Linked DNA regions of Mus musculus: region 2 is reported to be linked to region 1. Evidence: microRNA targets listed by miRTarBase, many of them from high-throughput screens and not tested one by one. Region 1 holds a microRNA gene; the other region holds the end of a gene's coding sequence.

The links. The annotated mature microRNA mmu-miR-466i-5p reads UGUGUGUGUGUGUGUGUGUG and lies in region 1 at 3,519-3,538, shown strand. An mRNA with a match to its seed (bases 2 to 7 or 8) in the 3' UTR can be bound and repressed. Matches are read on the target gene's strand: a 7mer-m8 pairs with bases 2 to 8, a 7mer-A1 pairs with bases 2 to 7 and ends in A, and an 8mer does both.
Region 2: the mRNA of Jarid2 is a reported target of mmu-miR-466i-5p. Seed matches in the 3' UTR shown: 7mer-A1 at 2,110-2,116, 8mer at 2,111-2,118, 8mer at 2,113-2,120, 8mer at 2,115-2,122, 8mer at 2,117-2,124, 8mer at 2,119-2,126 and 7 more.

The regions. Positions count from the first base shown.
Region 1 is chr3:85,463,864-85,469,915 of GRCm38, forward strand. Mir466k (microRNA 466k) reads left to right here and starts at 3,514; the gene lies at 3,514-3,635. The region is part of intron 1 of Gm31419 (a long non-coding RNA gene); the gene reads right to left.
Region 2 is chr13:44,918,275-44,922,677 of GRCm38, forward strand. It overlaps Jarid2 (jumonji, AT rich interactive domain 2), which reads left to right. Exons shown (of 18, transcript NM_001205043.1): 18 at 1,526-3,369. The coding sequence ends at 1,678. Dtnbp1 (dystrobrevin binding protein 1) reads right to left here. Exons shown (of 10, transcript NM_025772.4): 10 at 3,805-4,180. The coding sequence ends at 3,933. Among named protein-coding and RNA genes, the nearest start is that of Dtnbp1, 82 kb to the right of the region's middle.

The DNA.
Region 1 (6,052 bases):
AGGACTGAGTTTGAGATTAACTTGGATTCCATATATAATGAGCTCTAGACTAACCTTGGCTACAATATAAGACCCCGTATGAAAAAAATAATAGCAGGGCTGAGAAAATGGCTCAATATTTAAAACAACTGCCCTGCAAGTGTAGGGTCTGGAGTTTGACTCCCCAGAACCCACATAAAGTTTAACACATCAGTACACATCTGTAATCCCAGAGTTCCTCTGCAAAGATAGGCAATAGAGACAGGAGAATCCCAGAGGCTCACAGGCAGCTACTCTGGCAAACAATAAGAAAACCTTAGACAAGGCAGAAAGTGAAGATGGAGAGTGGAGGTTGTCCTCTGACCTCCACACATGTACTGTGTGTATAGGCACCTACACTCACACACATAAACATGCATGCACACAGCAATAGTAGTAAAGACACAAGAAAGAATTGCAAAGCACCTGGGAAGGATGGAGGAAGAGGTTTGCTGTTGCTGTACCCAAGAGCACTCTGAATTCTCTGTGGAGCTTGACAATGGAAGAATCAACCAGGAGTTGGTTGCTCGTATTACACACACACACACCAGCATAGAGCCATTAGGGCAGTCCCTAATCTTATATTAAGAAGAAATGTGGACCCAGACATGTGCAGCCCATGTGAAGACTTCAGAAGACAGGTACCTACAAGCCAAAAAGAGAGGCCTCAAAGATTCCTCCTCATAGTCCTCGGGAGACAGCAGCCCTGCCAACACTTGTGCTGTTACTTTGAGCCTTCAAGATTATGAGTAAATACCTAATGTTTAAGCCGTGTGATCTGTGATGCTCTGTCACAGCATGCTAGTAACATGAAATCGCCACTCATTATTTAAAGGGGTCATAGGTGTTGCTGTGAATCAGTGTGATCTGATTCCCCTTTTCAAGTGTGACTCTGGTTGACCCAGACTACAGTCCATGTAACACCCCGCACCCCCCACCCCCCGGGACAGTGGTTTTAATTTCTCATCTTGAGCATCAGGTCTTCCCTGCAGCCATGGAAAGATGAAGGACAGAGGGACAGGAGACTAATGGTAGAGTAGGGATACAGAAGGTAGGTTGTTCTTCCTCCCATTCCCATGCTCCCAGAAATAAGACACAGACTCAAAATATGTTTACAATACCTTGGCCATACAGCTAGGCTCTTCTCTAACTAGGTCAGAACTTAAAATAACCCACCTATGCTCAACTACATTTTGCCACATAGCTGGTTACCTGTGCTCAGGTACCAGGTATCTGTCTTGTCACATCTTCCCCAGTGTATCTCCCACCTGGCACTATCCCAGAATCCTTTCTACCTCACAGATGTCCTACCTCCTATTTCCTGCCAAGTTATAGGTCATCAAATTTATTACTGACAGTTGCCACATGCATACAGACATAAGATATTTTCTCCCCATAGAGATTAATTAGAAGTCAGGATCAGGATTATATTACTCTCCTAGGGTTCCTCCTTCCTCAAGATTTAGTTTCTATATGTGCACAGTTTAAGCAGGCACAGTCAACTGACTATGAAAGCAGAGACAACAGGAGAGAAGACGAGTCCAGGGCTGGAGACTGGATACCACTGACTTCTGCTTCTACACGTGGAGCAGATATATACAGTATCCTTGAGGCAGAAGGAGACAGACACTCTCATCCAGGGATATAGCTGACAGAGAAGAGACATCCACCCCCATACACACATCTCATCCCATCGTCTCTAACATCTGCATACTTGCACTTCACAGCTCACAAGTCTAACCTTCCCAGGTAACTGGCCCATTTGGGTCTGGTGTACCTTCAATCTCTCTTTTTTTATTTTCTTAAAAGAAACATTTGAGAGCTGAGCATCTAAGATGGCTTTGGATTCACACCCACTGTCTGTGGAACAGCTTGAGGCTGACAAGATTAGCTCGCTGGAACGCTCTGGGATCCGTTCAGCCTAAGCTGCTGCCCACACACCAGCCTTGCTCACAGAAGCTGCTTTCCGCAAGCAGCAGCCCGCTTCACCTCCTCCATCCTGGCTCGTGGAACTGGTCCTTGATGTCCTACCTGGTCTTGAGGACAGTGGCTTCCAGCCTCAACCAGTCCTCATTCCCAGATTCCAGGATGTGACCATGGTGATGTCTCAGCCTCTCCAGAGGAGTCCGAAGGGTGATACTTCTGTCCTTCCTCCTCCCATGTCTAATCACCTGATTTTACAGAACCCAGCATAGCGAGCAGTGCTGCAAGCTTCCTTCCCCTCCCTCGGCTCTCTTCTTCTGTCCCTTCTTTCTGTAATATCCAAGGGGACCAGACAGAGTGGGCCTTGATAACACACATTCCCTTGGCTCCAGAGCAGTAGCTTCTAAAACCTGTAAATAAGACAGCTCTATGCCCCTGTGTAGACATACACCCCAAGGATAGGCTGGCTCCCTGGTACCTGTCCAGAGTTGAGAGTTCAAAAGACAGACCAGTGGATAGAAATGCTATCATGCCCACCCACCCCCACCCCGCCAAGCAAGGCCTGCTGGCTCATGTACCTGGCCAGACATTACATGAGCAACGGGCAGTAATTGTTGTCTAATCTCTTCCCAGAGGTTTCAACTAGTTCCAAACTGTTGTGGCTAATAAAAACAGAGAAGATTTGCAAGAAATTCCAGGTGCATCGGAACACTTTGGGGGATTGTGCAGCCTGCAGGCAGACGAAACTTAACTCAAATAAACATAAGGTAATATGTGTTGGCAAAAGTAACCTGAAGTGGGAGTATACAACTGTACGTTTCAAATTGGCTGCTGCCTGTAAGGATGGAGATTGGTAGTAGCTCAGAATGGATGAAGTGGGCAGAGTAGCCAATGTGCATCCCAGAATAACCGAGGCAAATCAGATCTCATCTCACACAGACCCCATCAGTGGCCCAAGATGGAGCACATGACAGATTCCGCAGTCCCACTTTCTACTTTAAGGATGAGGAGACATCGTGGAGTGGCCTCCAGATTTAGGGGTCTCCTGTGAGCCAGGAATGTGTGGTCATGTTCTCAATGGAGCGAGTAAAAGAAAGTGTCTGTTTTTGTTCATTGAAGTCATTGACTCCAAGCCCTGGAAGCTGCCATGTTACCTCCATCTGCTGCCTAACTCTCAGGGCCACATTTAGATAAAGAGCCGAACTTCTGAACTGCAACAGCCCTGGACTTCAGTCAATTCCCTACTTTCTTACAGAAAAGAAAATATTGAAAAGCTGTATTATGGTGTCTTATATGAATGTGCTAGTTTCCAGGATGGGAGGGGCTGTATATTCACCTATATTCACACACATATACATGTGTGCATGTGATATACATTCATGTACACCCTCCTATAGAAATAAGTGTATGTGTGTGTGTGCATGCATATGTGTATATGTGTATGTATGTGTGTGCATATACACATGGGTGTGCATGTGCATGAGTGCATGTACGTGTATATGCATGTTCTCTATTGATATGTGTGTGTGTGTGTGTGTGTGTGTGTGTGTGTGTGCAGGTGTGTATATACATATATATGTGTGTGTGTGTGTGTGTGTGTACATGTACATGTGAGTATGTGTGTGTATATGTTTGTACATGTGCATGTGTGTGAGTATGTGAATATATGTGTATATGTGTGCATGTGCATGTGTGTGTATGGTGAGTAGGTGTTACTAATTGTGACTCCGATGGCTGTGTCTCCATCTGGCCTAGGTGACAGGTAAGCAACTGCACTGATCTTTCACAGGTAGCAGCAGCCTTATAGGGCAGGAGAAGACTGGCACCTCTGCACTGGCCGTGACCTTACCTGCAAGCCCCCGAGGAACAGGAGCTTTTTTACTCCTCCATCTTCTGGCTTCCCAAGCAGGTGCTGATATCTTGACAGGGAAGGGGAAATGCTCTGTCCTGGCCCTCTTGCCTCACAGAACTAAAAGCTAAACATGGCTTCAACTACCTCAGCGGCTTTCTTCTCCCACAACCACATGCAGTAGAGAGGCCCAGCGCTGCAGAATACATCTGTGATAGGAGAGGAGAGCTTGGATCTGGAATGTTCTAGAAAGTGATGGAATAATTTGAAATCCAAACTGTCTAAAGGCTGAAGAAGAAAGGAAGCCATTGCCACCTGCAGGAAGCAGCCAGGTCCTTTTGACCTCTCAAAGTTCTTGGCTGTGAGGTTCCATCATTCAGCTGATAAAACAGAGGAACAAATGTTACACAGGGAAGTTCACAGGAAAAGGGTCAGTACAGAGTGTGCAGAGCTTCTGGTGGTATAAAAGCCAGTCACTGAAAACTAGGGACATGTCCTCAGTCCTTGAGACCTGAAGTCATCTCTTCTCTTCTAAGCATCCATTATACCCAGGATTCCACAGCCCTAGGCCTTCTGGAAACAAACTTCATTTCCCCAAAAATTGTCTGCTACCCTAATGCCACCGGAACAAGTTTTTTAGCTCTTGGGTTATAGCTCAATGATGAAACACTTGCCCAGCATATACAAGACCCCAGATTCCACCTCCAACAACAACACAAAGCACGCCAGTACATCTCAGCCTGTGCAGAGGCTCAAATTTCGAAGGAAATAGGAAATAGATTCATTCATTCATTTAGTGACTCTTTCTCTTCTGCTGTGTATGAGACGCTGTGTTAGGCAACACCAGAAATAAGGTAAAGATTTAGCAGGTGACCACAAACGAGAAAGTGCAGTGCGTTCTCCACTTTAATCAGAGCAAGCCAGCAAATAAAATGTTCTAGGCAGTTTGTCTTGGCACCAGCCACAGGAATTTACCTGTGACATCCTAATAAAGAGGACACTGAGACATGACATCCACAAGGACTTGATTGGCTCTCCTGGAGCTGATTGTGCACACCAACCCCCAGGAAATAAGGCCAGGAGGTCTGTGGTGAAGCCTGAGTGTCCACGGTCCAACTGGGTCCTGGGTAACGTGGAAGCTGTTGTGAGTCTTGTCCTCAGAGACATGTATATAGAAAGACTCTAGTTCACCTCACTCTACTGAGCTGCATCTTAGGAAGGGCAATTAAATCCTAGCTATCACCCTGCAGCTGACAGGGCACACACACACTGCCAGCTCTCAACTAACTGGTCACACCCAGGGTATTTTCAGGCTATTATTATTATTATTATTATTATTATTGTATCTCAGAATATTTATATGAATAGCAGAGGAAAAAATATTTATTTACTTCCTTTTAAACATTTTTTTTTCTAAGTCTAACTTTTCATATTGTTGGGAGGCTACAAACTCAAGATTGTTTCCAAGGGATACCTGGAAAGCTAGGATGTCACCAGAATGTAGGACCATCTGCTACAGCAGATACTACTTCCTCCCTTGAGCTGAGAGACTTGGAAAGATTGACCCCAATTAAGAAGATGGGGGAGCAGGCAGGATGAGGAGGGAAGGAGGGAGGTTTTAGATAATGCGATGGTGTATCTAAAGCCACTGATTCGGGAAGAAACAGAGAGAGAGAGAGAGAGAGCACACCAGATCCAGCTGGCCTCTAGCTCTCTTTCCCTCCACCCAGACTGATATGTGTGAGCTGTCCTCTCTCCTCCTCCAGTTGTCTGCACAATGCCACCGCTCAGGTCACCCCATGTCACTGTTTCCTTCTGCCCTTGCCAGGGCCCACTGTCTCGCTAGTTCATTTCACTGCATTTAGCACCGACAGTGACCCACAGAAGAAAATACAGTAGAGGACACAGCCAATACGAAGCCCCAAGGCAGGAACAGCTGCTATCATGTAATCAGTAAGGGCAAGAGGATCCAAAAACAAGCCATTAGAGAGAATGCCACGAGGTGGGCCCTCGAGAGTGCTTTGGAGTCTGTACCAGTCATCAGTTGCTGCATGGCAACCACAAACATCCAGTAGTGCCCACCAAGAAGCCTGTTGTTTCCACTGCCCAGTAGTGCATGGATAAGGGCAGCTGACCTTCACAGCCTCGGTCCGGGGCCTGAGAGCAGAGTAGGAGGAGCAGTTTACAATAGCAGCACCCGAGGCCAGCAAACCCAATGGCATAGGCGCCTGCCAATCTTCCATAGGGGTCAAGACCACGCCC
Region 2 (4,403 bases), not on the chromosome of region 1:
CCTAACTTGGCCAACAGAATCTTTCCCTTGGAAAGTAGAGCGTAGGTCTATTTGCGTCCTTTTTGTTCAATGGCAGTAACATAGCTTCTTTGGTTCCTACTTTGTCACATGAACAGTAAATGTCACAATGTGCTTAATTAAAATTAAATCTCAGCAATGAGTAGGAATTACCATCTGGCATCCTGTCCCATGTGCTTCTTCCAAAGACCCCAGCCAGGACCCAGAGTTGGCAGCAGTGGTCAGGGCCAGGGAGTGTAAATCTGTGCACATGATTAGGACTTCTAAAAGTGCATTCTACAAACTGAGCACTGGGGTAGGAAGCCACATCTTACTGGGACCAAAGTCCTGAAAGAACAGGAGCACATCTGGAAGCAGCCTCTCCCTCTGCCAGAGGCTTGCTGTTGTAAAGGGTCAGCACTAGCCCTCAATTGTGTTCAGCTGGGTGGACTGAGAAAGGTAGGATAGACACAAGCTCTTAGTTCAGTCCTTTTCATTCCTTGTGCAGCCCAATGACAGACACACAAGGGGTTCCAGGCCTGTTCCTCCCACACCCCTATGCACTGTGAAGCTCCCAGGAAGAGCAGGGCTCCCAGACCTGAAGATAGACAGGCAAGGCTTTCACAAAGGAGCTTGTTTTAAGGAGGCAGGGGACTATGTCACATCCTTCAGCTGTTTGTAGGCTTTTTAGAGGCAGAACTTGACTGTGTGAACCTGGAGTCTTGTGTCCAGGCTGCCTCCATTCCTCACTGCTGGTGTTCTTGCCTATGCTCTCTTGTTTTTGAGACATCCTTCCTTTGTGTCCCTGGCTGCTCCCAAATATGTTCTGCTAGAACCTCTGCAGAACTGTGATTCTACGTGTGTGCCACCACACCCAGCTATGGATACCTTTTAGTAGAGAGTTGCACGGTCCTCTTGGGTGAAATAAAGGGATATAGCTGACCCATTTCCCCCTCTAATGCAGAGGTCACACACAATGAGTCATGTGAGCTGCTGATGTCACATGCTGGAGAACTTTAGCATAGCTTCAATCTGTAATGTCTCATATTTGGATGCTGTTGTTAAATTTCTGGATTTTTCTTGTCATGTTGGCTCTCAAAGAGGGCCTGCTGCCTCAGCTTCTACCCTACCTCCAACTATCTGAAGCAGTTTCAGGAGACAGTCTTCCTCCGAGTGTGGAGGCATCTGTTTCTCTTTTGCAGGACAGGCATTTGAGTTCTTTATGGAGAGTTATATACATGTGAATGCAAGCATACTAGGGGCCAAAAGTGTCAGATCCCCCAGCGGTGGTGTTAGTTTTAGTGGCTGCTGGGAGCCCACAAGGCAGAGAGGTATGCACGGTGCTCAGCAGTCTCGGCAGCCACAGGACTTTCCTTAGGTATCTCCCTGTCCTGTTCACAAGTCCTCTGCATCTCTGAATCCTAAAGCTATTTAGAAAGCCTGCTAATGTCCAGTGACACACACTGATAAGTCATAGGATTTGGTGCCTCTGCTGCACTAACTTAATGTTGTCTGTCTGTCCTGGCAGGAGCAGATCATCAGTTTGGTCAACCAGATATGTGGCAAAGTGTCTGGCAAACACGGTGGCATCGAGAACTGTCTCAACAAACCCACACCAAAAAGAGGTCCCCGCAAGAGAGCGACCGTGGATGTGCCGCCATCTCGGCTCCCATCCTCATGAAGATGCCGAACCCATGGTCACTTATATATTTTTTGTAATTACTATATTCTAGTTTGGAGTACTTGCTGTAGGATACAAGCTGTCTTTGCACTAGCTCTAAAGAAGAATTTCTTCTGGTTTTAGAGAACTGATTTTGTTTTAGCATTAAACTGTTCAAGTTTTTGTACGTAGATATCTAGATACTGCAGTCAGGTTTGGAAGCTGCCGTACACTCACTGTCTAAAACCCTTGAGGGGCTGTATTAATTTGTATCGCCCCATGGCTGTGAAATGCCTTTTTTTTTGTTTGTTTGTTTTTGTTCTGTTTTGTTTGGTAACTGTTGAGGAATAAAGGCTTTTTAACCCATTTTTGAAGATGGTGAAGTTTGGAGAACAAATTTTAAAACCATCAGTCAGATGAGATTTTTCTAGATTGGAAAAGGGATAGAAGATACACACACACACACACACACACACACACACAGAAAAAAGAAAACTTGAAATGGCTTTACTTTGGCTGTCTTTTCTTCTGTCATGTGCGAAGGGAGTTTGTAACTTTTGGAACCGGAGAGCCCTGTTTCTTTGGCTGGGCGGTTATGGCAGCTGAAGGCAAACTGTGAGGTTTGAGTGACGAGGTTCTCATACCAGCACATCACTATGCATCCGTTCGAGGGAGAGAGAGACAAAGACAAAGACTGCCTGCCTTGGAGGGTCACTGAGGGAGACCTGTGCCTGATTTCATTAGGAAATCCATTCTGTTATTTTTTTTTGGTGCTGTTGGCTACTTTATCAAAAAAACAAAAAACAAAAAAACAAAAAACCCTTCAATAGCATCCTTGAGGAAAAGGAACAGCAGTTGACTGTAAGTGCTTCCCTGTCATCCATGTGCAATTTCCCGACATTCCACCTCCATCTCTGCTTGTGTCCCTCACATCAGCATTAATCTTTGTTTCCCTCACACTTAGAGCCACTAAGTCTGCAGTTCTTTTTGAATGTGAAACACATCTGTGCTCCTCTTGTCTATTTTTTCTCTTCATGTTTTAACAAAAAAGAAAAAAAGAAAAAAAATCCCATCCCTTTTGTACATACTCCTGTAAATTGTTTTAAATACTTGAGCCTTTTCTTGGAGGGGGAGGGAAGGGGTGAGAAGATGGAGAAAAGCCTTACGTTTCCGTTTCTTCATCGGCTGATTGGATGCTTACAGGGTTCTCTTGTGACATGTATAAGTGCTGCTTACATCACTCAACAGCAACAGAACGTGGTAGTGGAGTAGCTGTTGCCCTTCTCCGGCTGTGTGTACAGTATGTGTGGAATAAAAAAGGGAAACTGTTTTCACAAGCTGTTGTTTGTTTCATAATTGGATCAGTCCATAGCTACCCACATTGCACTGAGCTTGCCAGTGGTGACTGCCAGGAACGCCTAGGATCCACTTTGGTGGCTGTTGTTGCAGAAGACTAAACTGCTTTGGACTATTTAACGATTGCCTGACAGTCGAGTGTTTCCAATGTGGTCGTCCAGTTTCTATGGCCTTGCTGTGGACTTTCCCCTCTTTGTCGGTAACCTTTCGCCTATGGCTTACAGTTCGACATTTAATTTATTAGCGCTGCTCTGCACCCCTCCTGCCGGGAGGCTCTGTGTGGTTATTGCCAGTTCTTTGTTTACTTTTCAGGTTTGTACTACAAGGTTTAATAATAAAAAGTTTTTTGGACATTTTGTCTGTCTTGTGGGAAGGGATTGGGCTTTCTTTGGTCAGTGGGGCAGGGGCTACACATCCTCTCTTAGGCCAGGGAGCGGAGCTACAGAGGCATGTCCGTGGCACTGCTCACCACTCTGGGCTGCAACTAGGCTAGCTCATGCCCTGGGGACCTTGGGGAAGCAAGTTTCTTTCCCAGGTTGTCACCTGATGCTAGGTAAAATTAAGTTCTTCAGATCCCAATTTGACCACTATTGGTTATGCTAACAGACTCTGCCTCCCAGTATGGTAGGGCACGGTGCCCACATAGCCTGGCCTAGGTCCTATTTCCTTCAAGGCCCTCTCCAGCAGACCTCCACACCTGTGTTTCTTTAGGAACTCTTGGTCAATCAGCTCTAAGCACCTGTCAAGGCAGGGGCCTCTATACGACCCATATACTCACCAGCTGCACAGTGTTTATTCCATAAGCTTTATTGTGAGCGCTTCTCTAATGGTTCTTACATCCCATTAGCAAGTGTGTAAAATTGAAAACCTCTAAGCACCTGGCTTTGCAGGAGGATTCTGCGCACAGCTGACAAGTCACTTAAATGTCCTGAGTTGAGTCACACTGGTCACTGTCATCACTGACACCTGGGGTGGACTTTCTGTCAGTGTGTAATGTGACCAAGGCCGTGTCCACCTGTACCTCCTCCTCATCAGACTGGATGAGGGGGGCATCAGCAGTGTCCAGGTCAGTGCAGGCAGAGGGTGAGGCAGGTGGCTGGGATGCTGATTCTGAGGGACTTGGAATCTGAAGACTCATTTCATTCTGATTGGGGTTGGATTCCATCTCTGTTGAAGAAAGTAGAAAAAGCCTCTGATTGCATTTGGGAACTGCCATTGAGGACAACTGCCCGAGATCCTGTCCCTCAGCCTAGTTGTAGGGTCCACAAGTTACCTGACCACCTATTCTATTCTGTGGTAAGATGAAGAAGTCTTTAAAGCCATGTAAGGTTCAGTTCTAAACACATGGTAAAAGTTAGCCACCAATCCTTGATACCCTAGCTCCTTCAGT